Linked DNA regions of Canis lupus familiaris. The protein of the gene in region 2 purifies or fractionates together with the protein of the main gene of each other region. This does not show direct contact. Links are inferred from orthologs where the notes say so. Each region holds a gene or a part of one and is shown on either strand. Other genes may lie near its edges. The genes, in order: ABI2, WASF2 and CYFIP2.

What was found.
Region 1: the proteins of WASF2 (region 2) and ABI2 purify together in Homo sapiens (affinity purification with mass spectrometry; 3 studies listed by BioGRID and IntAct, counting the BioPlex papers as one, with this or other methods). This does not show direct contact. The link is inferred for Canis lupus familiaris from reciprocal best matches to the Homo sapiens genes WASF2 and ABI2.
Region 3: the proteins of WASF2 (region 2) and CYFIP2 purify together in Homo sapiens (co-immunoprecipitation; 3 studies listed by BioGRID and IntAct, with this or other methods). This does not show direct contact. The link is inferred for Canis lupus familiaris from reciprocal best matches to the Homo sapiens genes WASF2 and CYFIP2.

What each region holds. Positions count from the first base shown.
Region 1 is NC_049258.1:12,086,280-12,096,786, reverse strand, and holds part of ABI2 (abl interactor 2), read right to left. Parts: intron 6,109-10,507; coding exon 5,932-6,108; intron 4,468-5,931; coding exon 4,450-4,467; intron 3,423-4,449; exon of another isoform or gene 2,868-3,422; intron 1-2,867. UniProt on the Homo sapiens protein: Regulator of actin cytoskeleton dynamics underlying cell motility and adhesion. Functions as a component of the WAVE complex, which activates actin nucleating machinery Arp2/3 to drive lamellipodia formation.
Region 2 is NC_049223.1:72,257,317-72,267,823, forward strand, and holds part of WASF2 (wiskott-Aldrich syndrome protein family member 2), read left to right. Parts: intron 1-564; coding exon 565-695; intron 696-2,999; coding exon 3,000-3,155; intron 3,156-5,882; coding exon 5,883-6,397; intron 6,398-7,682; coding exon 7,683-7,840; 3' UTR 7,841-10,507. UniProt on the Homo sapiens protein: Downstream effector molecule involved in the transmission of signals from tyrosine kinase receptors and small GTPases to the actin cytoskeleton. Promotes formation of actin filaments. Part of the WAVE complex that regulates lamellipodia formation.
Region 3 is NC_049225.1:53,774,901-53,786,147, forward strand, and holds the start of CYFIP2 (cytoplasmic FMR1-interacting protein 2), read right to left. Parts: upstream 5,407-11,247; 5' UTR 5,300-5,406; intron 1-5,299. UniProt on the Homo sapiens protein: Involved in T-cell adhesion and p53/TP53-dependent induction of apoptosis. Does not bind RNA. As component of the WAVE1 complex, required for BDNF-NTRK2 endocytic trafficking and signaling from early endosomes.

The DNA.
Region 1 (10,507 bases), on a different chromosome or scaffold from region 2:
GTTACGGAGAAATCTCCCACTGACAGATGACCAGCTAGGATAGAATAGTGGCAGACACATTCTAAAATGATATCTGTGGTATATCCTTCATTTATCAACCACTTATCACCTACCAGACTACTAGGTAAAAAGTTAAAGGAATATGAAAATTAAGGGAGACATTTGGATGGGGGAGGAGAGATAAAATGGAACACAAAGGCCTAGAAAATGATTCCTCTGCTTTTAAGGAACTTGTAATATTTTGGAATAAATAAGCCTCCTATGTTTTAGGCAAAACAGAATACCTACAAATGATATAGAAATCTCCAAAAAAATATCAATATGACAGGGAAAAACTACAAAAAGTTTCAGAGAAAAATCTAAGCTGGACTGTTGCTTTATTTTTTTTTTAATTTTTATTTATTTATGATAGTCACACAGAGAGAGAGAGAGAGAGAGAGAGAGGCAGAGACACAGGCAGAGGGAGAAGCAGGCTCCATGCAGGGAGCCCGACGTGGGATTCGATCCTGGGTCTCCAGGATCGCGCCCTGGGCCAAAGGCAGGCGCCAAACCGCTGCGCCACCCAGGGATCCCTGGACTGTTGCTTTAAAAAAAAAGCAGGATTTAAATATACAAAGAGAAGGGTAGTAGTAGTATGGATAGCCTGTATCTGGCTATGGAATAGTGAGGGGGAGCAGAAGCCGTGGTCAAGCACCTCTGGGCCTTCATTCACTGTCCAGTATTGTTCCTCACTAGTCCCATCCAATGCATAATTCTTTGGCTTCCTGGAGATCTCTATCCCTCCCTTCAGAAAATATATATTCCGACTGCAATGACCAGGGCTAAGAGGAAAAGGACCAGGAGATCCTTTGAGGGAAATCAAAGCTGAAATCAGGGGTTTGAGTATGAATTCAGAAGAGGTAAAATTTTTGTAAGAGCAAGACAAAAAGCCTAAGGTACTAAGAGTCCTAAAGTAATCCAAAAACAGACATAAGGGAATAAAAGAGTAGGAATAATGGGAAAGAGAAACAGGTAAAGAAAGGAGGACAAGAAAAGAGGAATAAAGATGGGCAGATTTCTGCTTGATCCTGAAAATACTTTCTGACAACCAGCCTTTGCCAAAATAGAATTGGCGGCTCAGATTGGAACTAAAAGGCAAAAACAGATGGGTCCCAAAGGTTGCTGTGATTATGGAGCTTTCCTTCCAAATGACGAGTCAGATAAATGCTCAAGAGTGAACCCTCAGCTGCACTTTAGAGCTGGAAATGTGAGACACAATTCATCATCCTCCTGCAGGGAATGACAAACACTTGTTAAGGAACACACTCAAGTGAAAAACTAAAGCTATTTTTTACACAGGGATAAGTTAAGTGAGATCTCAAGCAAAATTTTCAGAAGTGTTCTATTCTTAATGTGTTGGTTGTAAAACAAATCCATAACCCCTCCTCATTAATTATTTAGAATTTGCTTGCACAGCATGTCCAACTGCAATAAATACTACACTAACAGATTAGGAGTCCTTACTGCTTTTGTTTAAACTAATATATTAATTTTAAAAGTACTGAAGTTTAGCTTCATTAGTGACAACTTCACTGCTTCAAAAGAAAAAAAAAAACATTTCAAATACATTAGTAATGGGGTCCTAAAATTCTTTTTACTATTAAAAAAAAAGTGGGACGTGATGTAATGAGCATTGGATATTATATAAGACTGATGTATCAATGACCTCTACCTCTGAAACCAGTAATACATTATATGTTAATCAAATTTAAATTAAAATTTTTAAATAAAATAAAGAGTGGGAAAAGGGTATCCCAGTTCAAGGTAAATTCTACTTTTATATGGCCTCAGGTATACACTAAAACACTTCCATTATGGCATTCCACCCTTCAGCTTTTTATTCTTAAGCCTTTTGTAAAAATATCACCATATTATTTTCAAAGGTCTTACGAATTAAACTCTACAACTTGTGGGCAGCCTGGGTGGCTCAGCGGTTTAGCGCAGTCTTCGGCCTGGGGTGTGATCCTGGAGACCCAGGATTGAGTCCCGTGTCAGGCTCCCTGCATGGAGCCTGCTTTTCCCTCTGCCTGTGTCTCTGCCTCTGTGTGTGTCTCTCATGAATGAATGAATAAAATCTTTAAAAAAAAAAAAACACAACTTGTTCTCCCCTGTCAACTAAAGGAAAAAAAAAAAAAAAAAAAAAAACCAACCTAAATTTTTTATGAAAAGAACCATGAGCCCCCATGAGAACATGCTATTCAAAATGTTAAAAATTCAACTTTTAGTATGGAGGATTCTTTTAAGTCAAAACCCATGTGTCTGGCCTCAAAGTATGATCTTTGTTTAAAGTCTGTCTGAAAGACATCAAAAGTCTAACAGCAATAAAGAGCAAAAAGAGAGTTCACAAAGAACTGAGGAAATCAAAGAAGCAGATAATCCTACCAACAAACATCAGGAGACCTCTAGGGCACTTGACATAATCCACAAGTCTCCAAGATCAGTTGGAAACCACTGAACTAGTTAATTATCCAGTTCCTTCCAACTATAATATTTTCTCTTTAATATTTCTATTTAAATTTTTTAAATTTATTTAAATTTCTATTTAAATATTTCTATTTCCTACCTTAATGTATTAAATTATTCTATTAATCACCCTACTAAAACCACTCCTTTTTAAATACCAGAATAAAAAGAGAAATATTTGTTATACATTGAATATTTTTTCACTCTACTTTGTTTTGGTTTACCCAAAATTATTAGCAATGTGCTATAGGTTTACAGAGAAGGAAAAGTCACAAAGAGGGACAGGAAGAAAGAAAAGACAGAGTGTTGGTACATTCTAGCTTCTAGAATGAGTTCAGGGTACTCTTCTCACCAGGCAACACCACTCAGAGCAGAAACACCTACATAGAGCCACAGTACTCAGGAGTGAAGCTTTTGTATATTTGTAAAGATGTCAAGGAATCTTACCCAAGTGTGGTATATTTCCTTGCTTTCTAGGGGCTTATTTCCTACTCACTTTGGTGTATCTCCCACATAGAACAGATCCTGAATCCAAGAAGGTCAAAAAGGAATCATAGTACAGTTTGGAGGCATGAGCATAGGAAAGTAGCTTACACAAACTGGTCTAAACTTAAAGGGTTAAAGAACTGGTCCATTTCTGTGTTTTTTTCCTTTAGATGATCTTTCTGTGCACTTGTATCACTTTGAAGAAAACCCATCAATAGCCAAAATTTGAATGCAGCTTTTACAGGAAAAGAGCCAAGCTAGTTACACACTGCTTTGGGTCTACTTCTTTGTATTTTATGCAAAAGGAATCTCCTCAGAATTCCACATCCCCCACTTACCAAGACTGAGACATTCTACTCAATAACACAAGAAGTACATGCGCTCGACTCCTCTAGTCACATCTACCAGGATCTGTTGAAAAGTCTGTGGCCCTGGTTAGTATTAGTAGCTAGTTAATGATTCAGATCTCAATTATCTTCTTATCACTTTCTATACTGGAGACATGACAGATAACAGGGTTTTAGATAGTGTATTTGAAAAGAATTTATAAAGTTCAGCTAAGAAAATAAGAAAAAGGAAATTCATGCTCAGTTTAGTGAAAATGTTAGTAACCTTCTATTTAAATGTTCTTGAATACACTTGAATGTCTTTTACCATTAATTCTCTAAAATACTAAAATATAAACAAAAATCCCTAAAATGTTAGTGAAACAAGTATTTCTCTAATTCTTAATGTGAATTTTGTTAAACACTCATGAACTTTTGAAGTTTTGATATAATTAATACTCAACTAGTAAAACTCTTAAAGTTTATGTTGAAATATGTATCTTATATAGCAATTTGAAAATGAGAAACTAATTTTGCTTTTTGCAAAATACATGATACTGCAACTTAAAAAAAAAAACCTGTAACATTGAATATTTTCCATTTCTCAATTTCTTTACATTGACTAAGAGTCAAGAGATAATGACATACTGGCCACAAGGTGTCTAATAAAGCACACCATTTATAGAATAAAAAGGCTATTACACAGGGGGAGGGTTAAATAAAGCACATTAGTTGGCCCTCCAATCCATAACATAAATCCTGTATTTACAAAAGTCCAGCTAATTTTATTCATAATGACATTTTATAACAGGTAACCTTAATTTTAATTTCACAAAATATATGAACATTACAAAATACACATTTATTCAAAAATATTTACTAAGCACCTAATGTGTGCATCAGGCACTGTTGTAGGCACATAGGACAAAACTTTTTTGTGAACAAAACAGACAAAAAAATCTGCCCTCATGGAACATGAAGACACACCACAAAGTTGGATGACAAAACTTTTTAAAAATTAAAGAGGAATTATTTGTTGATTTTAGAAGGCCAAGTGCCAAATATCTCTTCACTCCCCATATGTAATATTCTACATAAGAACAAAGAATGGAAATCCAGCCCTGGAATCTCTTACCTTAAATCTAAGCAACCACTTAATGCATAAATGGAGCAAATAAAAGAGGTAAGGAAAAAAAGCATTGAAAGGTTAGTTGGAACTTCAGGATGTGAAGAGAAAGGAAAAAAAACAAAGAAAAAACAAGTTAAGCATTCAGCATTAAAAAATAATGTTTCAGTAGATCATAGAAAGAGTGGTCAAAGCAGAATGTGTCATGAACAGGAGGGTTTTTTTTTGATGAAATTATATGACATTGTTTTATTCAAAAACTTTAATAAAGATTTCTTCAAATTAGTTAGCCCTAAACTCTAAAAGCCCAAATAATAAAAAGGACTCCAGAGTCCCAAAAGAATAATATTTTACTTGAATTAAGTTAAGAATTAGAGTGGGAAGGAAACCATGTTTTTATTGTATAAGTGGGCAAGTACAAATATTATGTTTTATATTCTAAGTACCTTTTGTAATTAGATTCTGGCATTACCCTAAAATTATTTATTAGCAGTTATTAGTCTAGAATAAATCTCAAAATTATAAAATTTTTAATATTTCATAAAGTCAAATATCAAATTCCAGATAACAGTGCTTGTATCAAAATTCTGAGAAAGAAAAAGACTTAATTTACACTGTATGTTTTCTTTTACCTAGGTCTACATTAGATTTACATTTAACTGATTTCCAGGATACTAGTGTAGGATATTTTTTTAATTTAAATTTGCTTATATAGACATAAATCAATTGCATAAACTGTACAGTTTCACACATATGTATATATTCAAAGTCACATTTGAAGAGTCATTGCCCTTCAAATCACTGATTAAGATGAAAGCTTTAAGTAACTGAACACTTAGCTGAAGCTCCAAATAGTTTAAGTATAAATACCAATTTAAATCAAATTTATATGCACCTTAGTTTTGATTATGGTACTTTTACATATGCAGCAGATACTCCAATACATTTTAAAAGACAGCCAAAATATATAATGGCTACATACTCAAAAGCAGTGGAAATACTAATTCACATATTACTTTCATCTACACTACTCTCACCCAAAATGTTAAGATAAAATTATTTTAGAAAGATTCAAAGTACATGTTTGTTTATAGATGTTCCTTCTGAAAACTAACACCAAAGCGTTGCTGATAAATTTTTGAAATAAGGTGGATACTTAAAGAACATGCTGAGTAGTTTTTTAATCGGTCATACTAAGTCATTAAAAGATTAGAAAAATTAAACCACACTTATTTGCCCAATCTAGATGAGGTATCCTCATAGCTGATTAAGTAAATGCAATTCATTTAAAGGTGACTGTTTAAAATTTGAAAACACAGCACCAGGAAGAAGCAAGAAGGATAGAATAGTTATAGTATTAAAGAACCTTCAGAACCACAACTGGGCCAAAACCTGGACCTCCAGGAAAGAAAAGACAAAAGCTTAATTTTCTAAAGAGTTAGTTCCATTATGGACTGCTGTTTTAAAAAGGTTGACAAAAATTATACTTACCTTTACTCCATGTCCAATATCATCTAGAATTGTATAGTCAATAGGTTTTCTAATATAACGAACTGGTCGTTCAAGATTGGCTGGAGCAATAATCTTATGTGTCCTTGAAGTGTTTTTATTGGTAGTCAAAATACCAATCTCTCTTCTTGCAACTTTCTCTTTATGAATATCAACGGTCTGCAAAATATAAACACAAGACAAAAATGTAGAGTTCTAATCCCCAGAAGAATCAAAATATAAATGCTCAGACATCTAACATTATTATTCATATACTTAGCCCCAACTGCTAAATTTTGTTCTTTTTGGATCTACTAGCTTTCTCCATTCTTAGGCTAAAGCCTAAGGTTGGCAAATCATGGCTGGCCAACCAAATCTGGTCCACAAACTGTTTTTTATAACCTGAAGTTTTTTACAACCTGGGAGTAGTGTTTACATGTTTTAATGGTTTTTAAAAGTCAAAAGAAAAATAATGTCATGACATGTGAAAATCATACCGAATTCAAATTTCAGTTTCCATAAAGAAAAATTTTTGGACCACAGCTATTCTACTTGCTTACATATTTTCATACTACAGGGCAGAGATAAGCAATTAAAACAAAGACTGCATGGCCCGCAAGTCTAAAATATTAGGGGGTTCTTTACAGAAAAAAGTGTGCCAACCTCTGGGTTAAAGCATGCTAATTTTTTCCCAAGCTCCATTGCTCCATTAATACTCAAACTAATATATAATGACTAAGAAAGCTCCAGGTATTATGTTGGTTACATTTTTAAATAACCTATTAGTATAATTTCCATTGATGCTCAAATGCTTTTCTATTCTTAAAAAAGAGAGGCTTAAAATATAAATACAATGTTATCATCTTTTTACAAAAAAAATTAAGTTTGTGTATATTTTATCATGATAACATTAAAATATTTCATTAATTTATCCTATTTATTAAATGTTCACATAGGATAAATGTGTTTTTACTTGGTCTTCTATTTGTTGATAGCGAATTTCTGTATAAACATAGATAATTAATATCCCTAAAAAGCATTTCTCAAACAGCAGGTTGTAATTTAGTGGTATGTGAAAGGCAATTTTTTATTTTTTTAAATTTATTTATTTATTCATGAAAGACAGAGAGAGAGAGAGAGAGAGACACAGGCAGAGGGAAAATCAGTCTCCATACAAGGAGCCCGATGTGGGACTCAATCCCAGGACTCCAGGATCACGACCTGAGCCGAAGGCAGACGCCCAACTACTGAGCCACCTAGGCGTCCCAAAAGGCAATTTTTTTAATAAAAAAAAAATAGAAATATTAGACTATATATGCATAGTAAGTATTTTTTTCTTGAAATATTTGTTAAATATATATATATATATATATACATATATATATATATATATATATATATATATATATATATATACAGGAATTGATACAGGAAAAAGATACAGGAATTGTGTACTGGGTGCAACATAAAATATATTTTTTTACTGTGAGTTGCAGTCAAAAAAGTTGGAAAACACTTCACTAAAATTGTTCATATCTCTCATACTCTTCCTGGGCCAAGCAGCAATTAACAGACACTCATTCCTCCCCAGTCCTACTTCATTTTCCCCTTTCTGAAAACAGAACCAGGTAATAACATAGAAACGGAAAGAAAAGATAACCATTATGACAGTATTAAATATCACTATAAGTAATCTGAAAGCTGATTATCCCTCTAAACTATCCAAGGTATGAAGGGAACTTGAAACAAAAGTCTCCTATTTCAACCAAAAGATTTTAAAAGCAACAGTATCTATAAGCTTCACAACTAGTATCTAAATGAAGCATCAAATCAAAGACTGGCCAAGGTAGTTAACTTTATCATTTTAAATATTTCTTTTTAAGGCAAAAATAATCTTTGAGCTTTCCTGAGCACGTTAAGTAAAAATTACAAAACCTGCCTTCCTTTTCAACTACTACAGGAGAGCTGTAACAGAGAAACAGACATTTATACATTAGTGACAATATTGGTATTTACTTATTTTTAACTTCAGAGAAATAAAAATCTCATTTTAAATAATTTCTAATGTGTCATGCTGAATCATTAAAACATGCACTTAGAAATATTTCATATGTTTTAAGTATGCTTCAAAATAAACAAAACCAAAGAAAATATGGCACTTTTTTTGACACCTATTTTTTTTATAACTGGTCTTCACAATGTCAATAAAAGAAAATTTATCAGAGAATGTAATCGTCTTGAGACACTGTTCTTCCTCCAGTTTTTAGAAATGTAGTTATACTATTCAAAAAGGAAACCAAAAAAAAAAAAAAGGGAAACCATAAGAATGCAAACCTAACCAACCATAGAATTTTAAGCTTACTGCAAACTGAAACTTTAATTTCAAATTTTAATGGTGGAATTATTAATACATCTCTGTATTAATAAATAAAATGAGGGGGAGACCTGGGTGGCTCAGCGGTTGAGTGTCTGCCTTTGGCTCAGGGTGTGATCCCAGAGTCTCCGGATCGAGTCCCACATCAGGCTCCCTGCATGGAGCCTGCTTCTCCTCCCTCTTCCTATGTCTCTGCCTCTCTGTGTCTCTCATGAATAAATAAATTTAAAAATCTTTAAAAAAAATAATAAAATAAAATGGGAAAGCAAGTTTCCATATCTGCATTAATATAGTTACGTTTTATAATAAGCACATATTTTTTAACTGTGAAAAAATTAAGACTTTTTTTAAAAAAGCACTGAAAACATTTGATCATTTTTCTGGGGATTGGAGGCACTTACATATTACTTATAAGTTCTTCTTATATATGCACAAACACAGCCCAAACCTACAGACCATTCACTAAGGATAAAACAAAAACCAATATAGCAAAGAAAAAAAAAATCTCAGAATTATAGGTCTAAAGTGGGCTCTTACAACTTCCTGAGAGGGAAAGCAAAGTGCAAACAATAAACTATAAGAAAATACATCCCTTCATCAGGAAGGGACAATTTTCCCAGCACTAAACTCCAAAAGGAATTTTGGCTGGAGGAATTTTGAACAGAAAAATGTTGCTTCTTATATTCTCAGTTAAAAAAAAAAAAAAAAAAAAAAACCTCAAGGCATGTTTTAAAACATAAATCTTAAGAGCATAACATCCATGGAAAATCAAAAGAATTTAGTTTGGTTATATAATATTTCTAGTTGTTTACTCTAAAAGAATTCCTACATCTTAGAAAAACTAGACCAGGGTTTCTCAATAGTGACACACTTGACATTTTGGGCCAGATAATTTTTTGCTGTGAGAGGCTGTCCTGAGTATTGCATCATGTGAAGAAGTATCCCAGTAGACCTGTAGCACTCCTCCAAACCAAGTTGTGATAACCAAAAATGTGTGACATTACCAAATGTCTCCATGAGGGTAAGTGAACCAATGATTTAGCGGGGGTACTAATTCACTTGTCCTTACATTACACACTCTGAAATATCAATATCAATTACTTCCAAACTTCTTACAAGAGCTGACTTAAGATTAGTATTTCTAGTGACTAAGTATAGATAGTTGGTGTTATTAACTTTTTAAAAAACATCTATAATAAAATATAAGGTTAAGAAAACCAAAGAGCATAATTTGTATTCCTGCCATCCTACTACAACACTAAGTTAAACTGGAGGAGTTCTTGTTAACAAAATCATATCTATATTCAGAAAATAGCTATGTTTTTATGTGGAGTCTGAATAATAACAGAGAACAATGAATCTACTACTCCATTAGGAAGGAAGAGAAAGTTTGGTCCATAAGATTATGAAATTTTCAGCAATCACCTACTTCAAATTTTTCAAAGCTTTCTCTTGGGGAAAACCATAGTCAAATTAGAATAATAGAAGGAACACTCCTCTCTCTATATAGCTAATATCAGCATTTATCAACTTACAACTGTCAGTTTTAAAAGAATTTTTGTAAAGCTCCTATGATGTATTGTTTAATTTAAAAATAACATGAGTTAATACATAAAATCTTTAATATATACGTGTGTGTGTGTGTGTGTGTGTGTATATATATATATATATAAAACTACTGTTTTTTCCTAAATCTAACTCATTGCTTGCACTAACCACCATTGCATTTGCCTTCATTATATTCTTTGATGTTATAAAGCTAAAATGTATTAATGCTAAGTTTTGGAAGTACAAGTTCAACACTGATGCTTAGGAAGAATTTTATTTTATTTTTTAAGATTTTATTTATTTATTCATGCAAGACACAGAGAGAGAGACAGAGAGAGAGAGAGACAGAGACAAAGGCAGAGAGAGAAGCAGGCTCCATGCAGGGGGCCCGATGTGGGACTCGATCCTGGGTCTCCAGGATCACGCCCTGGGCCAAAGGCGGCGCTAAACCGCTGAGCCACCTGGGCTGCCCAAAGAATTTTAATAGTAAAATAAAAGTATTCCAAATTTGTCCTGGATTTTTAAAGTTACTAGTTATATGACAATAAATTTATTCTTATTTAGTAGAGATCTCAAGAATAGCGCTTATCCATGGCAAATAAAAAGCTTAATTAGCAAAGACCAAAACTAATGAAAGTACACTTCTAATAAACACCA
Region 2 (10,507 bases):
TATAGGCCTGGTTTTGGGAGCTGCTCTTCTCCCCTTAGACCTCCAGTGATGTGTATAAGCATATGACCTACCAGTTGCAACCTCATAATCCCATTAGCATGGCTACCGGGAGGCCCAAGAGAGTGCCAGGGGCTAGTGTAGCTGCACAGGCTGAGGAACTCCTCATTGGTGGTTTGATTTTGTTTCGTTAACTATTTCTTTATATTTGTCCCAGATACACTGACTGACTTTAGTGTCAGAGCAAGTAACAAATAGCTTTTTACTAACTTCCTAACAATTAGAGCTGTTGAGAACATGAATGAGTTACCCAAAGAGGTAATGAGTTTCCCATCTGTGGAGGTGTCTAAGTCTTGGAGTGAGTGAATGTGTTTGACCTTGGGAGGTGATTTGGACTAGATGACCTCTAGGTCATTCCAAAACCAGTAAGTCTCTAAATTCTCTAGTTACTATATGTTGTCTAAGCAAATCATTTCTTGGGTGTGCATCCAGGAAGGTGGATGGAATTTTAATGAAGGACTTTGGAAAAATATCTTACAAAGGCTTTTCTGTTTCTTTCCATTATAGAGAGAAAAGAAAGATAATCCAAATCGAGGGAATGTAAATCCACGTAAAATCAAAACACGGAAGGAAGAGTGGGAGAAGATGAAGATGGGACAAGAGTTTGTGGAATCCAAAGAAAAGCTGGGGCCTTCTGGGTAGGTGATGCTTTCATATAATTGGTAACATTCTTTGAAGGGCCTGGGTTTTGGGGGGCAACAGCTTGACAGCTCTGGTGTGCCACATTTCACACTTCCCTGAAGTGTGTCTATGTGGCTAAGATCAATACCACTATTAATCAGCTACCTTCACGTGCATCCATCTGGTGATTAAAATTTGCAAATAAATCAAGAGACTCAGCAGTTTAAATGAGGTGACTGTAGTAGTCTGGAAAAGAAAGCCTATGGCTTCTAGTGCCCTTGCTCTGCCAGACACAGTATGTTTGTGGGCCTGAAAGGAAAGACTGGAAAGAGAAAAAGAGTGGTCTTGAGCCCTTTGCCTCCAGAGCATTGATCTGAAGGTCATGCCTAAGAGCTGGGCATTTCACAGGAGTGGAGAGGGCCTGGTAGAGAATCTGTGCACATCACCAAAACAACTTCTCAGTCAGCCTTTGTCTGTCTAGGGAGAGAAGCCGGCCAGGGGCCTGAAAACAGACCTCAGACACAGTGTGGGAAAGGTCGTTCGGCCAGTACTGAGGCTATATATCTCCGGGGGGAAACAGTAGATGTCAGTCTGACCCATTTCCCAATACCAAATCACACTGGAGGTTTTTAAAAGGGAAAAAAATGGTTTTAGAGTTTGGTTTGATGCTTATCCTGGTGTCTGACCTGTGTGACATTCAAAGCCAAGTCACCACGACTGCTTGGCATGAATGTTGCCCTGGTTTTTTCTCTAAATACTTTGCATCCTGGCTGTCAGAGAACCATGCCAGCCCATGCTGGGTGTCTAGGAATGATAAAAGGAAAGAGTTGAGTTGTTCTTGCTTTTAGGAATAACTCTACCATGAAAATCTTGACTTTAAAAAATCTTGACACTTCTGACACTTGTTCTTCTTGGATTAAGAGATTTGTTTTAAAGAGTGATGAAGATGGTAAGAGAAAAAAATGAACCTTTCTCTCTGTCAAGAAATCAGCCCTGAGGGTACCTTCATTACCTTTACCTCCCAGTAAAAGGGGCCATTTGGTTCCATGGTCCCATCCTGTTCAGACAGGCCTTGTCCTAGGTTCCGTGACTCTAAGGCCAGAACCTCGCGCATTCAGATTGCCAATTATTACGTGTTTGGTTTGTGTGTGTGTGGAATGGGGCCGGTGAAAACGAAGACTTTGCTTGCCATTTTTCTCTTGTCCAAGAAGTTTGGGATTGGGCTACATGGCTGGTCTACCTGGGTATGCTTGTTGGTAAACCTACAAAGAGATGTACCAAGCCTATTCCAGGCCTTGGGGATTTTCTGCATCAGAGCATCATTTGATTTTTAGTTCTCTCCAACTCTCTTCCCTCCAGGGTCTGTTTGAAAGGAGTTCTTTAGAACCCAGCAGTGGTGGAGAGAAGGGGGAGGTAGAACAGAAGCAACCATATTTGCTAGTTGCTATTTGTGTACATGTGTTATTTGGAAATTTGTTGTTCACCCAAGGCCCAGTGCTCTGAGGGACAGGCTTTTATGAGGCACAGGCCCTAAGCACCCTACTTAAATTGGCAGCTCGTAGTGTTGGATAAGAGACCTGGCAGGGAGACCGAGTCTAGCTACCACACAGCAACTTGCATTTGTCCTCAGCTTGGTTTTGCAATCAAATGCCTCCTTGGCCTTTGAGTACTCCAGAGGCTTGCTGACCTCCAAACCAGGCTGTGTGCCAGTCACGTGTTTGCAGCTCACTAGCCTTGGGGCTTGGCTTTGCCCTTTGCCTCAAGACTGACTTTGGGAGTTGGGAGCAGTTAGGCTGCTCTTAACATTTGGGAGGGAATTTAAAAGAACTGCTGGGTTTGACAAGGCCAACCTGCACTGGGAAAGGAACAGCATGGTTTTTGATTGGCTGGGTTGAATCCCATTTCTCTGAATCCAGCAGGAATATCTGGGAGATACTTAATACAACAGAATTCAGTCCTAAAATTTCTTTTTAAAGATTTTATTTATTCATGAGACAGAGAGAGGCAGAAACATAGGCAGAGGGAGAAGCAGGCTCCTCTCAGGGAGACAGATGTGGGACTCGATCCCAGGACCCAGGGATCATGCCCTGAGCTGAAGGCAGACGCTCAACTGCTGAGCCACCCAGGCATCCCTAGTCCTAAATTTTAATCCTGAATTTAATCCTAAAGTAAAATTTCCGAACAGCAGAAAACATGTGGGGAATATTTCTTTCTTCCTAAACGCTTTTGTACCAAATGCATTTTTGTAGGGTCTCTTAAAAAAACTTGAGAAGTGCCAGTCACACTTGAAATGACAGTTTTGACATTGGGTTCATTGTCAGGTACCCACCCACCTTGGTGTACCAGAATGGCAGTATTGGCTCTGTTGAAAATGTGGACAGAAGCAGCTACCCACCGCCACCGCTGTCAGACTCCACCTCTCCGCCTTCTCCTTCCTTCTCTGAGGACAGCTTGCCTCCCCCACCAGCAGAATTCAGGTAAATGGTGCAATCTCTCCTGTCTACTCTGGGTGGTTACACACTCAAAAACAAAATAAGTGTACCTCAGGGTCCCTGGCTGGTTCAGTCAGTGGAGGGTGAGACTCTTGTCTCAGGGTTATGAAAATCAAGCACTTGTGTTAGGTGTAGAGATTATTATTTATTTTTATTTTTATTATTATTGTTATTTTTAAGATTTTATTTATTTATTAATGAGAGACACACACAGAGAAAGAGAGGCAGAGACACAGGCAGAGGGAGAAGCAGGCTCCTTGCAGGAAACCTGACATGGGACTCAATCCCGGGTCTCCAGGATCATCCCTGGGCTGAAGGCGGCACTAAAGTGCTGAGCCACCTGGGGTGCCCTAGAGGTTACTTTAAAAAATAAAATCTTAAGGAAAAAAAAATAAGTGTTCCAAATCCAGGGCAGGACCAATAAAATAACTTGAGTCAAGTCTGTGTAGATAATAAAAATAATTAACATTTTATTAAGTGTCTGTGAGGTGCCAGGCATTATGCCAAACACTGTATATGATGCTTCATCTTCACAATAGTCCTCCTGAAGTAGGTACCCATTTTACAGATGAGTAAGTGGTGAGGCACACAGAGGTCAATGAACTTACCTAAGGTCACACAGCCAGTCATAAGCAGAGCCATGATTGGAAAGCAGGTCATTCAGTCTGCAGAGCCCATATTCTTTTTTTTTTTTTTAAGATTATTTATTTATTTATTTATTCATTCATTCATTCATTCATGAGAGACACACAGAGAGAGAGAGAGAGAGAGAGAGAGAGGCAGAGACACAGGTAGAGCGAGAAGCAGGCTCCATGCAGGGAGCCTGATGTGGGAATCGATCCTGGGACTCCAGAATCAGGCCCTGGGCCGAAGGCAGGCGCTCAACCACTGAGCCACCCAGGGATCCCAGAGCCCATATTTTTAACTGTTAGTTATACTGGAACAGATGGAGATCACCATCATATCTCTTGTTTTTACCTAGCTTTAACTGAGCATGGCATGATGAAGCGGTATAATCTGCCATCCTTACAGTATTTAGCAGACACTGTGCCCTGTTATCTAGGAACCTAGCAGTTACCTTCCTCCCCTGTTCTGGTTCATTTCACTGCTGGATAGATCTCCAGAAAGAATGAAACAAAGGGAAAAGGGAGATCAAATGTAGACTCTGTTGGTACTGGTGTTTGGCAGAGGTATACAGGGGAAGAGTTAGAAAGTAATGACTGGGGACGCCTGGATGGCTCAGCGGTTTGGTGCCTGCCTTCAGCCTGGGGTGTGATCCTGGAGACCTGGGATTGAGTCCCACATCAGGCTCCCATGCATGGAGCCTGCTTCTCTCTCTGCCTATGTCTCTGCCTCTCTCTCTGTGTCTCTCATGAATAAATAAATAAAATCTTTCAAAAAAAAAAAAAGGAAAGAAAAAAAAGAAAGTAACGACTGAATGGAGATCTGAAGAGTATTCAGATTTCAGTGTTTGCTCCGTTACTTTGCCCTTTCTGATGCCTGACAAATGAGAGCTTTGAAAGGTACAGTTTTCTCCTCGGACTCTGTTGAATCAGAGGTTGGATATGTTGAGGACCCCTCAGATGGACACCTAAAGCAGTGCTATAACCCCTTCCCCTCACGCGGATCCACTCTTCTTGGCTCTTGAAACCACTCATCCCAGATCTCTTCCCGCTGATTGCCCCATCACATGCAGCCAAGGCTGGAAGGTCTATGGAAAATCCCAAGATGGATGCTTTATTCTAAGAAGTAACTATTAGTGGAGGGCAGGTACCAAGGTGGAAAAAAATCCTTCAGCCTCACACATGGCCTGAGACCTTGCAGCCACAGCCAAGCACATGTGACCTGGGAAAGGTACAACTCAGTCGTCTCTCAACCCAGTTAAAGTCTGGTGGCACATTCATTTCCCATCTCTGCTGACCCTCAGATCGTCATCCCTTTTCAGGTTTTTCCACGTGAGCACTGAAGGTGCATTTACCTAAATCTGTACTCTGCTCAGCTTTGGTTAGCTTGGCTTGGGTTTCCTGCCCTCACAAGATTTGGTAAATGATAATAGCCTGAGTAATAGAGCCCAGTGGGTGGGTAATGTTTAGATTTTTATTCCAATTCTTCTTGCATGCCTTCTTGCTCCTGGTTTCAGGATAAAACTGACTATCCCTCTTAATGGAGGGTTCAGGAGGGTGCCTTCCTTTGGAGAGCTGGAAAGTTTGAGGGGGGACCTAGAAAATGACTTCAGCCAACCCTTACCTGATAGAGGAACCCAGTGTAAACTTCTTTCAAATAGCTTTTCTCGGGATCCCTGGGTGGCGCAGCGGTTTGGCGCCTGCCTTTGGCCCAGGGCGTGATCCTGGAGACCCGGGATCGAGTCCCACGTCGGGCTCCCGGTGCATGGAGCCTGCTTCTCCCTCTGCCTGTGTCTCTGCCTCGATCTCTCTCTCTGTGTGACTATCATAAATAAATAAAAATTAAAAAAAAAAAAAAACAAATAGCTTTTCTCAGTTACTGGTTATATCCCTCTGCTGATGAGAAGCTTCATTGCATTACAAGGCTTCCTATTGCATTGTTGGTCTGTTCTGATCATTTTTTCTATTTGAGCTAAAATGAAATGATAGTAGACAACCAAAATAAACCTAGGCTCATAGATAAGCTTTATTAGAGGTGGATGTTTGCGTGCTGAGACTGATGGTGGGTTTTTTTTCTTTGTCCTTTTAGCTGCCCAACAGACAGCAACCAAAGAGGGCCTGGCTTAGCTGGACCCAAAAGATCCAGTGTGGTCAGCCCAAGCCATCCACCACCAGCTCCTCCTCTGGGCTCTCCACCAGGCTCCAAACCCGGGTTTGCTCCACCACCTGCCCCTCCACCTCCACCTCCAATGATGAGCGTTCCACCCCCTCCACCGCCTGGAGGATTTGGGCCTCCAGGGACCCCACCACCACCTTCACCCCCATCTTTCCCACCTCACCCCGATTTTGCTGCCCCTCCACCTCCTCCCCCACCGCCTGCAGCTGACTACCCGACTCTGCCACCACCTCCCTTGTCCCAACCAATAGGAAGTGCACCTCCGCCTCCCCCTCCTCCCCCTCCCCCGGGGCCCCCTCCTCTCCTTTTCAGTGGTCCCAATGTCCAGCCTGTCACACCACCACCACTTTCTGATGCCACCAAGCCTAAGTCCTCCTTGCCTCCTGTGAGTGATGCCCGCAGCGACTTACTTTCAGCCATACGTCAAGGTAATTCCCAGTGCTGGGTCCAGGACCACTTGTCAATTTCTACAGCCGAGATGACTGGTTAGAGGGTGGCCTAGGGGTTCCATGCCCTTCCCAGGGGATAGCTTTCATTGGGTGGGGAGAGATTGGGAGGGACCTCAGGCCTCAGATCAGCCTAAAGAAAGGCTTCACTCTGAAAATACAGAGATTTAGATTTCTTTCCATCTTAGTTTAAAGTAAAGGATTCTTGGGGCACCTGAGCCAAAGCATCTGCCCTCGGCTCAGGTCATGATCCCAGGGTCCTGGGATTGAGCCCCAAGTCAGGCTCCCTGCTCAGTGGAGAGTCTACTTCTCCCCCTCCCTCTGCCTGCTCTTCCCCCTGCTTGTGCTCTCTTTTTCAAATAAATATATAAAAGCTTTAAAAAATAATAAAAACAAAATAGATAAAATAAGGATTCTTGGGGCCTTGGATGGCTCAGTCAGAAGAGCAGGTGACTCTTGATCTCAGGGTTGTGAGTTTAAGCCCCACCTTGGGTGTAGAGATTACCTTAAATAAGTAAAGTAAGAGATTCTTAACTTGGGGTCTTTGAACTCCTTGACAAGACATGGCTTTGCCTCTGTTTGCCTTCATTTTGTGCCCCAGAGAAAACCAAGTATCACTGCCCTAGAAGATACTTCTCTGGCCAGTCATGCCCTGTCCTCTTACCCTTCCTCCCTTCTCTCTTTCCCCTTTCTCACCCCGTCCTTCTCCCCCTTTTCTCCTATTCCCTCTTTGTCTCCTTCCCTCCCTTTTCCCCACCTTCCTGCCCTCCCTTATCATCTCACCCTTGTGGAGTATTTATTCTCTTTCTTTCAGAGGTCAGGTCTAATTCCAGTGGTTTAAAGTCGTTTCTTCGGTTTGCGAGACTCCTGGAACTAGGGGTTGTCTGAGGGAGACCAGTTGGGGCAGCTGGGCTCAGTGGTAATCAGTGAACCAGAGAGACTGAGTGCCTAGTGGGTACAGTTCGGTGGCTACTCCCCACTCAGAGCCTCCTGAGAAGTGCCATCCTCACCAGCCTGTGGAAATGGAAAGAATGGCAGGCTTCCTTTCCAACATGCCTATGGCACTGGGGCCTGGCTTGGATAAACCCTCATCTTTACTTCTTTTCTTGCTTTCTCTTTTCCCTTTTTACTTTTTCAGAGGATCCCCACACCTTCCCAGACTCTGCCCACCCCTGGCCACGCCCCCTTCCTCAGTCCTGTGTGGATCCCCAGACCTTTGGAGACCCACTCACCTTCTGAACCCTTCTCTCTGTCTCTATCTCATCAGGCTTTCAGCTGCGCAAGGTTGAGGAGCAGCAGGAACAAGAGAAACGAGATGTCGTGGGCAACGATGTAGCCACCATCTTGTCACGTCGAATTGCCGTGGAGTACAGCGACTCAGAAGATGACTCCTCTGAGTTTGATGAGGACGACTGGTCGGATTAACTCTTTCTGCCTGCTGCCCTCCTCCTTTTTCTTTCCTCCTGCTGCCTTCTTTGATGCATATCCCAACAGTCTGATGCGGGGGGGGAAAGAGGAAAAAAGAATTTCAAGGGGCCAAAGTCTTCCCTGAAGCAACCAAAGATATATCCAAGTGCTTCCTCCAAATCAACATACATTTTCCCATCTCCCCATGGACAGGCCCCATGGGGGCTCCTGAGATTCAGTAGCTGAGATGTTCCCTCTTCCCTTCAAGTGACTGTTGCATATTGAAGAGAAGGCAGAACTCCAAAGCAGATCCCTTTGATTGGGTTTAGATTGGAGTTGGTATCTTCCTCTGGGAGCCATTTTCATCTGTAGTCTCCTTCCAAAATCCTTACCCTTCAAATAGTGCCAGCCATCTTCTGGTCCTAAAGCCTGCATGGGCACGGCTGGCCCCTTTCCCATGCGCTGAGAGGGCAGAGCAGGCCACATGCCCTAGCAGCCAGACTGCCACACCTTTGTGCCGTGGTCAGCAGGGTGAGCTAGCTACCTTTTGCTAAGCCATCTCTGTCTCGGTGCGCTTTATTCTAGGAGCCATCAGGCCCTAAAGAGTGTCTCCCTCTCTACCCAGAAATGGTGCCTTTCTGAAGGCTGAAGTTGTTGCCTCCCCTCAGGCTCTCTGCAGAGTGTGGTGTTCAAGTGTCCTTTAAATACCCCTCCCTCACTACCAGGTGCTTTAGGCACCAGAGCCCAGTTCAAACCTCCAGTACCCATGACCAAACTAGCCTTGACAGGGATCTGGACCTCTGTTGGCCATCAGGGGCCAAGCTTAGAGACTCGGAACTGCAGAACTGGAAGAATGATGGAACTCCTTGGATCCTACCCTCTTAATGATGCTGGGAAATGATTTGCTTCAGGTCTTGAGGTCACACAGTTGGATGGTGACAGAACTCTAGAGCCCAGAATTCCTGGTTCCAAGTCACCTGTGCCTTCTGCGACCAAATAGTGGGCACTTGGAGGAGTCCAGGTAGAGCAGTCTTGGCTCTTTACTACTCCAGACCTCACCATAGGTGGGAGTCCCAGGAGGAGGACTCAGAGCCAGTGCCGGGCCTCTCAGTGCTGCTCAGACCCTTATAGCCTGTCTTACAATTCTTTGCTCCCCCTTTACTATCGCCATTGAACCACATGGCCTTGGGAGCTGCCCTTCTGGGGGACCAAAGGTAGTGAGAGAAGGAAGGGGGTACGCAGCTTTGACAGGTGCTGCTTTCAATTCCTCTGCAACTCGTCCCCCTTTTATTTCCCCAATTTAAGCATAGGTTCTGCCAACTATAGAAACTTCAGTCCCTCAGGCTGGTGGCTGCCGCAGGTAGCTGCCTAGGGGGGCCTGGCAGCTGTGAGGAGGGCTGAAAGGCTGAGGGGCTCTGGGTCTTGTTTCCAGCTCCCTCCTCACTGTGTGCCGTGATGTTCCCTCCCTCACTCCCCCTTTTCCCAGAGCTAATACACAGGTGCTATTATTCAGAAAAAAACTGGTCAGCTTTGGCCAACAGTGAGGTTTCTTCTCTTCTGCCCTAACTATTGTGTAGCCTCTTATGCTGAAACCGGCTTCTCCTGGCTTCTCCGGCTTTCAGAGCCCTGAAACAAAGAGAAACAGGATCTGTCTCTACCCAGCACAGCAAATGGTTGTAGTAATTGCCAAAGCCCTCATAAACCCCTCCGGCTTGAGGGGAGTGTGTAATCATGGGTACTACCGCTGTGCCCTGGCTGGATGCTCCCCCTCTGCCTTCTTTCCTTGAACTCTATCCTGGGGACTGAGCCTGTAGGGGCCAGCATGCCCTCCTGCTGGGGCTACTGCAGACTGGACCCCCGCCCTCCCCAGATCAGATGTCTGCCATGGGGCGGGCACCGTGCTCCGTGCTGGCCATACCAGACTGTGTGTGCCCCCCACCTTGCTTCCCACCTTGTACTTAGGAAGCTGAAGGTGCTTTCTTCAGAACCCTAAAATGGCTGTTGAAGGTGTCCCTGGCTGCAGCCCAGCAGTGGCTCGGAGAGGCAGGTGGAGGGCAGTGGTTCTCCCAAATAGGAGTCCTGGGGCCTGGCCAGGCCAGGGTTCGGGCCTAATGGCTTTGACTAAATTACCCCCATCCCCCTCCTTTCCGGAAAAGGGGGAGCCAGCGCCACTTGCTATCATTCTGCTCTGACCTTGAAGGGGGCGGTGTTGGCCTGGCTTCTGGAATGGACACAGTCTGCCCTGGAAAGGGCTGGGGGCAGAAGGGGGGGCACTGCCTGCGGAAGGTAGGATTAGATCATTAGCTCAGTGACCTCCTAGGGTTTCGATGTGCTGTGTTCTCATCCTACAGCTGGTTTGGTAATGATCTGCAAGTCCCGGAGAGCAACAGCACAGCTCTGCCTGACGCTCTCATTAAAATCTATGCAGCCAAGCTCTGTGCTTTGTAGCAGCCGGTCTTGCGAAGCCTCCTCAGCTCGGGGGGCTGGGGACCCAGTCAGCTGAGAGGCCCTCTGGGCTCTATTTATGCATATGTGCACCAAAACAAAATAAAACAAAAAACCCACAATGCTTCTTTAAACCCGGAGCCCTTTAAGATGATAAAGGACCCTATGCAGGTAATTGTGCGTCTTTGGAATCCTATAATTGTAGAATGCAAAGTTTAGTGATTATTTAAACTGGGCTGA
Region 3 (11,247 bases), on a different chromosome or scaffold from region 2:
CTTCTTTTAAGACCATAGTTCTCCAACATGGATACCACACTGGCCAGGATGTTTGGAGTGCCATTAACCTGCCCATGGACATTCCTGCCTTTGCTCCAACTCTCTCCACTCTCCAGTAGACTCTCCTCTCCCCTTCTTGAATCCTACCCTTAACCACTGTCAAGGCCCAATTCAAGATAGGCCTCCTTCATAAAGGTCTGACCAAACCCCCCCAAACTTTCATTTCTCTGGATTCTAAAAGTGGACGAAGAGTCTACAATTTCCTACTGCATTATAAATTGATTTATATTTCACTAATTCTTTGGATCACCAAAAACAGGAATGGTCATCTTTTTTTTTTTTTTTTTTTTTTTTTTAGATTGACTCATAGCCTTAGTACAGATCCGGGCACATGTTAGGCACATTTTATTTACTTAATAAGCACGATATGAACAACTTGCTGAATGCATAAGCCAACGACCCAAAACACATATCTTCTGGTAAAAACAAATTTTTTAATTTAAAATATTGTGGTCCTCTAAAGCATCATATCTAAGTCAACCTTCCTACTATGAAGACTTTGAAGAGACTTCTTTAGAAAATTCTGTCATGTAGTTTCCACCTTAAGACACAGGTCCTTATTTCTCTTTCCCACATGAAGGTATAACATACTTGAAGGCTGGTGACTGACTCCTAGTCCTGATTTCTTTTCTTGCATTCACACCTTGCCAAAATCTGTCTTAAGGCATCACAATTTAAAAGCACACATTGACTATCTTTCTCAGGTATCCCTTCACTTAACACTGAGTTACTGAGTGTCTTCTATGAGGGTCAGCCCTACAGATTCTTTGGTCTCAGAAAAGTTAAACAATCCTCTCATTCATCCCCCAGTTGATTTCTTATTCCACCCACAGGGGCAGCTGTTCCAAACCTCCGGAAGTCTCCTGAACTCTCCTAACCAGTCCACCACCTTTACTTTCTGTGGAGGACCTCATCTCCTCCCTTATTTAGAAGACAGAGACCATACAACATGGACATACTAACCTCCCTCGATCCTACGAAGAGATTAAAGTCTGAGAACCACTGCTCTAAGATGACCTAATGATGATGCAAACACACAATCAAAAGGCCTATTGATGAAGTCATCACTGGGTCCTTCTTGGGTATCTCTCCAGAAGGTCATGTTTACTTTCCTTTCTCCTTGCACTATTTCTGAGTTGCTGGAAGTCTCTCAAAAATGCCACTTGGCCATAATGGTCCCTGTAAGAATTCTTAAAACAATTCCTTTCAAGAATCTTCCTCTGTTGCCAGGGCCCCAGAAGTATGGCTTGAATGGTCATCTTTTGAGGCACACCACACACAGCCCTTGGCATAATGGCCATGGCCAGGAAGCCAATATCCAAACTCTGCATCCTGGGAGGCGTCCCACACCCACCAACTGAAATCTGAAGTGTCTTTGTACAGACAAGGCCATCCAGGGGCCTTGACAGAATCTGGGAATCACAAAGTGCCTTTCAGTTTCCTTTTGGCTCAATGTTACAGAGAGGCCACAGATTTGTCTTCTTAAATTGACACACAATATATAATTAATAAATTGTTCCTTTAGGAATAAAGGGCAGTCATCCAAAAGAGCCACACATTCAGAAACCTCTTTCTCTTCCCTGTTTCCACGGCCTTTCTTCTAAGACTGGGATTTATAGACATTATCTCATCTGCAGGCTCCTGTGGCAACAGGTAGGTAACAAGCAGGGCAAGCTGCTTTCCCTGGGCTAATTTTTAAAGTCAGAGAGGTAGTGGAGGATTTAAAGGCACATGGCAAGTCAAGGATAAATCCTGTGTCCGAAGGCCACTGCTCTGCTCTGTCTGCCTGGGAAGTGAAGCATGCCCTTAACATTTTTGGCTGGTTGCAAAATGCTAAATGCACACAGGAGGAAAGTTCCTTCCTGACCTTTGTTTGTGTGTTGAAATGTGAGAACTACCTCTGGGCTTCTGCTCAGTATATTTCTTCCCCTTCTTTCTGCCTACTCAAGTTATACCCACCTTCAGTGAGCTACTCAAGAGCTACTTCCGACCTGAAGCCCTTACTGATACTACACCTTACCACTCTTTTGGTTAACTTTTGCAGGTAAACCTGCAGGGGCTAGGTTTCTTGGTCACAGAGCCAACTCCCCTGGGAAAAGCAAAATCCAGGAAGCCCCTGGAGGTAGGGTTGGGAAGGGCTATGGGTTGACTACACACATGAACCGTATTCTTAAATATATAAATATAATAGCACTTTATTATGTACTAGACATTCTGCTTAACATGTTCATGCATCCCTCATTCAATTAGAGCATCCAGTATTGAATACCAGCTCCTTCCCCACTACCACTGACCTCCCAGTCACTGCCCAGCAACATGCTCTACTACCAAGGCAGGGTCTATCCTCTATGCCCTAGACATGGGTTTGCTCTTTAGAAGGACAAGACCAAAGGCCTGTTACAAAGACTCCAATGAGGTGACTGATGTCTTGTTTCATCAACTACGAGTGAATAATTAATACTTGCTAGTAAAGAAATAGATGCATTGTTATGGTGGCCACATGGAGGCTACAAAAGGCCATTTTGTGAAGCTCTTGGTAGAACCCTGGGGCCAACAGCAGCCAAAAGAAACCTCTTTGAGAGTGTAGGCCGATTCTCAAATGTAGGGACTGGAGCCCTGTACTGTTTTCCAGGAGTGCTGTTTCCAATGCTAATTAGCTCATTGCCTATTCATCACCTCATTCAGCTTGCTGGTCAATGACAGCAGAGAAGGCCCACTGAACACCCAAGAGGGCACAATTTATCAGAGGGTACATGTAGTGTTCTCCTGGGGCCCTTTTCCAGATTTTATTTTATTTTATTTTTATTTATTTTTTTAATGATATATATATATATTTTTTAAATTTTATTTATTTATGATAGGCACACAGAGAGAGAGAGAGAGAGGCAGAGACATAGGCAGAGGGAGAAGCAGGCTCCATGCACCGGGAGCCCAACGCGGGATTCGATCCTGAGTTCCCAGGATCACACCCTGGGCCAAAGACAGGCACTAAACCGCTGCGCCACCCAGGGATCCCCCCCTTTTCCAGATTTTAAATTTTAAATGCCTACTTCCTTTTCTGGGCCAGCCTCTGATTTGATTCGAGAAAAAACTCTTGAACTCTCTTGGATCATATACCCCATTCTTGGCCTAACGGCTAAAGCAAGTTTTTCAGTTTCTACTTTCAGCAGAGACTAAACAGGGCAGGCTTGGGTGCCTACAGAACTGGTCAGAACTTACCAGGAAATATAATAACGAAGCTTAGTGAGCTGACAGCTAATGCCCCCCGCCAGAGGCTCAGTGTTCAGAACTAGGCAAAGCACTGGCTTTGTAAGCAACAACACACTCTTCTTGTGGCTCAGTAACTGGCCAGGCAGATGGCAGCCAGTACCACTGAATAACTCTCTATAGCAAAGTTTCACCTCCCCCAAGTGGATACTGGGTGCACCACAGATACCTTCCAGTGCCAGGAACCCCTGGACAGTTACACAGACACACACTCCAATGGCATTTCTGCCCCAGCAGCAAACATTGCTGACAGATGCTAGATACTGTCATTTCAGTGACTGTTCCCCAACATTGCTACCCAGTTCCCCATTCCCACTTCCAGTCTACTGCCTGAAATTCCACCATTAGAGATAGCAAATAGGTTGACTTAAAGCTTTGTTTTCCATTCAAATGCCTCCCAGCCTCTGTTTCCTTTCCAGTTAAACGACTTCTAAAGGACCTGCTCTGCATCAAATTTCAAATTCTTTTGTATTTAGCTCTTAAGGATAAACATGTTCACTGGCTCCTCTCTTGAAAATAATTTTTGACATAGGAGACTAGGGGAAGCACAGAACATGGAGCTGGAGCTGGAGATGGGAGGCCTCAGGGAGAGTCACAGAGAAAACTGCCTCCAAGGCCTCTGCAATCCTGCCCAGGGATATGGTCCTAGAATTTTGCCCTCCAACATCTGTGATCTCCAGGGTTACCGGCATGGCCTCCCACAGGGCCAGTGCCTAAGGGTAAGTAAGATAAGACAACCTGCCCTAAGAGGGACAGGGTAGGAGTTAGAAAAGAGGAGTATGAGAACCAGCACTCTGATTTGTCCCTCATGCCCGCAGGACTGCCCCAGTCTCCTTACCCATGCCAGGAAGGCACAGGCACCCGAGAGCTAGCTGGGAAAGACCCCTGCCACCTTCTTGTCCTGGCTGGAAGGGGAGCAGATGGCCCATCAGCTCTAGGTGAGTGCTTCGGCTCAACTGGAGACAGTAGGCAAGCAGAGGTCAAAGGCAGGTTCCTGGAGCTGAGGAGGGCCAGGGCAGTCCCAGGGTCCTTTCCTGCCAGGGTCTCCGCAGTACAGAGAACCGTCCTCCTGTCTGACCGTGACCAGGCTTCCTGCCCCCGTCCCCACCCCCACCTCTAAACAGAGAGCACTCCCTCCTCTTCCTTTCCACCCATCCATCGAGGGGGCGGGCTGTCCTGAAAAGCAGAAGCCACAACAGACAGGTAGGCGATCCTCCTGATGTCTTCAGGGCTCAAGAGAAATCCAACCTTTTCCCCAGGACTCGGCGCACTCGTCCCCTTCCCCGTGTCCTCCCCCGCCCACAGGCAGCCGGGAGGCAGAGGATGCCAGCGTAGGCCCGCAGGCTTCCAAGCGGTCCGGCTTCCTCCCGCCTCGCTAAAGCCCCGCACCCCCGGTCGCCGGCGGCCCCCCCGCCCCACCCATGTCGCGCCCAGCGCAGGGCGCTGCTGTCCCCGGCGGCCGCCAGGCGGGCCCACGCGCCTCTCGCTGGCCCTGGAGGAGGGGATGGGCCGAGGCGGCGGAGGCGGCGGCCGGCGCTCCGCAGTACCTGGGCTCCGGGGGTCGCCGCCGCTGGGCTCGCGGCCCCCGCAGGTGTCTCCCGGCCGGGATCAGCGCCGCTCCGTCTCCGGCCCGCGGCTTCGGCCCAGGCCGCGCACCTGCTGCTGCCGCCGCCGCCGCCGCCGCCGCCGCCGCGCCCGAGCTGCGTCGCGTGTCCGCGCCTCCTCGCCCCGGGTCCGCGCCGCGGGGCCGGGATGGGCCGGAGCCGGCAGGGGCCGCGCGGGGCCTGCAGCCCTGCCCCAGGGGCTCCGGGTCCCCCAGGCCGCGCCAGCCGGGGCGCCGCGCCGAGCGCCCCCCCTCGGGCTGGGTGGAGGGGCGCCGGCCCCCCGCGCATCCTCGCGGCCGCACCGGCGTCCCCCGCAGCATCCCGGCGCCCAGGCCGGCGCCCAGGCCCGCGAGCGCCGCGCCGCTTACCTGCGTCGGCGGCAGGTCCAGGCGAGCGGCCCGAGGCTGCCGGGGGCCCCGCGCCGGGGCGCAGGATGCTCTGCCCGCTCCGCCCGGCTCCGCTCGGCTCCCGCGGCCGCCGCGCTCGGCCCCGCCCCCGCCCCCGGGCCCGCCCCGCCCCGCCCCGCCCCCCGCGCCCGGCTCGCGGCTCGCGGCTCCCGGCTCCGGCTCCGGCTCCTCCCCCGCGCGGGGCCGGCCCTCCGCCGCCGCCGCCGCCGTCACACAAAGAGCAGGAAATGGCTGCGGCGAGGGGCTCCCGGGGCGCCCGACCTGCCGCGCGGCTCCTGCCCCAGGACGACCGGCCGCGCGGCCCGCGTAAGGGACGGAGGCGGCACCTGCGCTCAGGTCTCGCTCGCCGGGAGCCACACCTGCCGCCGGCGGGGAGGGCGGCCCTGGGCTGCGCTCGGAGCTCATCGACCTCACTCTCTATTTCCAAGCGCTCATTTATCTACCTAATATTTATTGAGCAGCTACTTTGTTCCGAGCCCCGTGCCAGAAGCTGAGTATGCACCGGTGTACTGCCCTTTTGGAGCTTCTTGCCTACCAGGGGAGATGGGGCACGCATTAACCTGGCCAACGCGCACTGACAGCGGGAAGAAGTGCCGTGAAGGAAAGAACCGGGCAAAGTGATGGGAAATACAGCTGAGGCTGGGGCGAGGGGGCCCCAACCCATTGATTCTGGCCCCCAGTGCCGCTCCTCTGCTCAGGAATACCTTCTCCGGACAAACATTATATGTTCTCATTCATTTGGGGAATATAAATAATAGTGAAAGGGAATATAAGGGAAGGGGGAAGAAACGTGTGGGAAATATCAGAAAGGGAGACAGAACGTAAAGACTGCTAACTCTGGGAAACGAACTAGGGGTGGTGGAAGGGGAGGAGGGCGGGGGGTGGGAGTGAATGGGTGACGGGCACTGGGGGTTATTCTGTATGTTAGTAAATTGAACACCAATAAAAAATAAATTAAAAAAAAAAAAAAAAGGAATACCTTCTCCGTTCCTTGGAGCCAACCCCCGGAAGGTGCCATCTCCTAAGGAGGCTCTGCCTCGACTTCATTGAGGGAGAATTGCCTAATGGACAAAAGGGAAAATGCGTGGCAACAGGAAGCCTTGTTCTGCGTTGAGGGCTGTTCAAAGGAACAGTCCTCACTGAACTGCAGCCTCGTGGGCCCTCAGATCCAACCTTGAGACCCCCTACCCAAGTCACTTCAACACTGTTCCTGAGAAGCCACTGTGTCTATAACGTGAGGGTAATGCTTGCCCTTCCTACTTCACAGGGTAAACACTGGAAAGCATTCGAGACGTTTTAAAGTGTGTACAGATACAAAGAATTAAGTCCTGTTACAAGGGAAGCTTTCTGGAGTGTTTGCCCAGGGCCCACAAATTTATACTTAATCACTCAGCTATTCCTATTTAGGGGCTAATTATAGAGGGGCGTATTACTGGAGTCTCTGGCAAAGGACTTGAGGAATCTTTGCCCTCATGGATCTCACACCACTTCCCAAACCCTCAGAATTCATGATCCTTTATGGTTTGATGTTACATCACTCACTCCAATTTAAATTGCTATTTCAGAAAGGATGACTTATATATATATGTACACACACACATTTCTTCCCTGTGAGAAAGCTGTGGAGGTGTTTGTGGAGGATGGCTTTAAAAACCGAACTGAGTTTCTCTTTTCTTGCTTGCTTGCTTTCATTCTCCCCTTCCTTCCTTCCTTCCTTCCTTCCTTCCTTCCTTCCTTCCTTCCTTCCTTCCTTGTTTAATTTTTCATTTTCCACTGTGATCCTTAGTTTTTTGAGTGTCAGTGATTATGTAACAAGAGAGATTGGATCTTCATTCTAGAGGACATACTATGTTGGATGTTGTGGATTTCTGGAAGACACATTTCCCCTGCTACTCCTTCCTTGTCTTTTCACCTTTCAAGAACAAGTTGCTTAAGAGAAACAAAAAGACTATTGCATATATATTTGGTTAGATGTTAGGCAAGAATAATTCCATGACCCCTGATTTCCATTTGCTTATAAGGGGAAGCAGTATGGTGTCGTTCAAACCGCTGTGTTGGAAATCCAGAGGCTTGCCTTTTGGTCCCAGTTTTGCAAGTAAGTGATCCTAGGCAAGTCACTTCACCTGTTTCCCCATCTATACAGTGAAGTAAGTTGGATACATTCCCAAATCCTTCTACATGTAGAAAATCACATGAATTAAAGGGCATGCCCCTAACACACTTAAAGCACTTCACCAGCTCTCTATTGTTCTCAGTATGGAGCCCAAACTCCTTAACTAATGGCCCACAAGAGTCTTCATAATCTATCATCTACCTCTCCAGTCTCTACTGCTGTGAGCAAGCTCTCTATGCTTTCAGCTAAAAGCAATCTTTTAGTGTCCCAGATTTGCTGTGTCCTCTTGCATTTGGCCTTTACCTAAGCTGGACTTCTTGCTTGGAATGATCTATCCTCCTTCCCTCCCTCTTTTGCACATGCCCCCAGTTTGCTGCCTAACCTCTATTTGTCCCTCTGGTGTCCACTTACCTGTCTGTTCCTTCAAGCTCCCTCCATGTCTGGAGAGACATGTTAGGCTAGTGTTAGTCACCTAAGCTCCCCAGAGCCCCCTGGGCTTCCTCTATCATCCCCCTTGTTGTGCGTGTTGTCACTGAGGACATACTTGCCTGCATACGATCATTAGAGCATAAAATCGAAGAGAGAGGGATGTGTCTTTCTTCTCATTGCCTCCTCAGAGACTAGTACTTAATAGGAATTCGGTAAATATGAGTTGAATCAATAATCAAAAGTAAAATCTTAGTATACATGTTGCCAATGAAATGTGTAGCCATCTGTCTACTGCCTTCAGATATGCTTCATGTCCAACCCCCGGCTGCACCATCAGCAATGAGAGGATTGAAGCTATCAGGCAAAAATTGCTTTCCCACTTGTAAAGCTGTGGCCCACGCACCGTGGTTTCATGTGTGGCAACACTGCCTTGTTTTTAGAAAAGTCTCAGGTCACTTAGGACATCCAAGTCTCCATTTAAAATTCGCAGATTCTCCTTCATAGAAACCAGTACTAGAGTATCTGGAATGGATATAAGGATTGGTTCTGGAGACAGAGAACGTAAATATTAATGTTAACAATAATGGCTAAAATGTTTTAGAATCAATAATAATTGTTTTCAAAGTAGGCTCCTGGCCCAGTGTGGAGCCCGCACATGGGGCTGGAACTCACGGCCTTGAGATCAAGACCTGAGCTGAAATCAAGAATCAGACACTTAACTGACTGAGGAACCCAAGTGCCCCTAGAATCACTAATAATTTTTTTTAAAGATTTAATTAATTAATTTATTTGAGAAAGAGAAAAAGGGAGAGAGTACAGGAACACAAGCAGGGGAGGGGCAGAAGAAGAGGGATTGAGAGAATCCCAAATTCAATCCGTGCTCAGTATGGAGCCTCCGGCAGGGCTCATCTCAGGACCCAGAGGTCATGACCTGAGCTGAAATCAAGAGTCAGAGGCTAAACCCACTGAGCACCCAGGTACCCCTCAATAATAAATTTTTAAAACAAGGAAAAGGGTATGAGATGGAGAGAAACTGTAAATAATACAAAAGAAGTCACTAAGTGCAATGGGCTTGCTACATGCAGTAGGCTCACACACTGGTGCGTGTAGTTAGCAGGAAAAGAGAAACTTGATGGTTTGTTTTGCAATTTACGTTGTCCGTAAGATAAGACCTGAGCACTTGCTCAAAATTGCCTCATTTTACAGATGAAAGAACTGGGGCCCAGAGAGGGGAAGAGTTGCCCAAGGCTGGTTGGACCCAGACCCAGGCCCTCCCATAGGAAACTGGATTGTCTATTTCCTTCTTTGAATATGGAATAATTTGTTAAAGCCTATGTTTTAAACTAACATTTATGAGATGTTTATTTGGGGCTAGCCTCTATGCTAAGTACTATCTATCTATGGATCGGCTCGTTTCATCCTTACGAAATCCTAAGAAACAGCCCTGTTATTTTATAAATGAAACATCGACAATGGATTTGCTGCTGAAAGATTGCAGCCTCATCCTGGGCCATTTGGAAATGCATGTCTCCCCTTCACACTGTCATTCTCTCATTTTGGTCATTTCTCACAACTTCTACAGAACTGGCCTCCCTTGAAGGTCAGATCTTTTACACATAACTTCATGGCAAAGAACATTTTATCCTTATTTAAACAAATTCTATATTCAATAATTTTAGATAAGAACTGTTAAGGAGGGTCGAGCATATTCTGAACAGGATCTGGAACACAGCAGTGTAGCCAAGGCCCAGGGGGCCCAGTGGTGCTGTGTTGTCAGAAGCTAGCATAATGAATCCTACAACCAGCTCCACAGAATGGTTGGGAGCATGGAATTTGGGGACAGATAGGTCTGGCTTCAAGCCCTCATCTGTCACTCACTAATTGTGGGACTATGAATTCTTTCCCTAATTTACTAAGCCCTCTTCTCATCTGTAAAATTGATCATAATAATAGCTATCCCTTGAATTCTTGGAAGGTTAAATGAAATAATAAATGTAATACATTAAGTGGAGTCATCATAAGTACTTAAAAATGGCTGTTTTTATTGTTATCATTATTATTATTAACATGGTTTGAATTTTAGTGTGACCTCTAGGAGGAATGCAGGACTTGGAAGGAGCTCTGAGTTCTAACCTCACCTTTGTTAAGTAGCTGTATGACCTCAGGCATGTTCTCTGTGTATCACTTCCCTTTTCTGTCTGGTCAGACCCATGCACTCCTGCTTTTATCCCAAAGCTGCTGAAAGATCCAACATCATCTTAGATGGGAAAATGCTTTGAGATATACAAAAAAGAAAAGCAAATGAATGTTTATATAGTTTGTCTCAGCTTATAGACACCCATGCCCCCATACGTGGTGTGGAGTAGTTTGAACAAAGTCCTGCTTCAACTCTGAGCATGAAGCCTCTTTTTTTGGCAGCACCCCTGTGGCTCTGAGATGCTGGCTGTGCGTGAGGAGCGAGTGCTGTGGTGCCTCTAGCCAGCCAGCTCTCACTTGCTGAGTTTCCCTTAGTATGTACCTTTTGCGGGATCCAACTGTATTAAATTACTTCAAACAGCCTAGGAAAATAAAGACAATTACAATGCCATTTAAAAAAAAAATGAGGGAGAACCTGGGTGGCTAGGTGGCTGAGCATCTGCCTTTGGCTCAGGTCATGATCCAGGGGTCCGGGAATCGAGTCCCACATGGGGCTCCCCCCCTGGGGAGCCTGAACTCCCTCTGCCTATGTCTCTCTCTCTCTCTCTCTCTCTGCATCTCTCATGAATAAATAAATAAAATCTTTTTTTTAAATTTAAAGACTTATTTATTTATTCATGAGAGACAGTGAGAGAGAGAGAGAGAGAGAGAGAGAGAGAGAGAGAGAGAGGCAGAGACACAGGCAGAGGGAGAAGCAGGCTCCATGCAAGGAGCCCGACGTGGGACTTGATCCCGGGTCTCCAAGATCATGCCCTGGGTGGAAGGAGGTGCTAAACTGCTGAGCCACTGGGCTGCCCCAAATAAATAAAATCTTTTAAAAAAAGTGAGACTTCAGGTTTTTCATCTTCCTTGGGTGCATCTCCCTGAAGAAACAGGGACCTCTCCAATGTGATAATCCAGAGCAGTCACAGTAGGGGTATTCTTCTCAGAGACCTAAACCACTGTGGAAACAAAGCCCCAGCAGGATTAAACAGCGTTGGAGTCCAAGAGGACAACTGTGCCATACTCAAAATCAGTCTGGAAAATGGAAAGGCACCAGAAACTCCTTCACAGCTCTAGATGGGTGTAGATGGGTGTGGGTAGAGGTGACCCTGGATGGTGAGGAATCACTATCCACTTGGCTCCTTCAGCTGATTGTCCTGTAACCTCGCTAGCACCTACTGCCTTTATC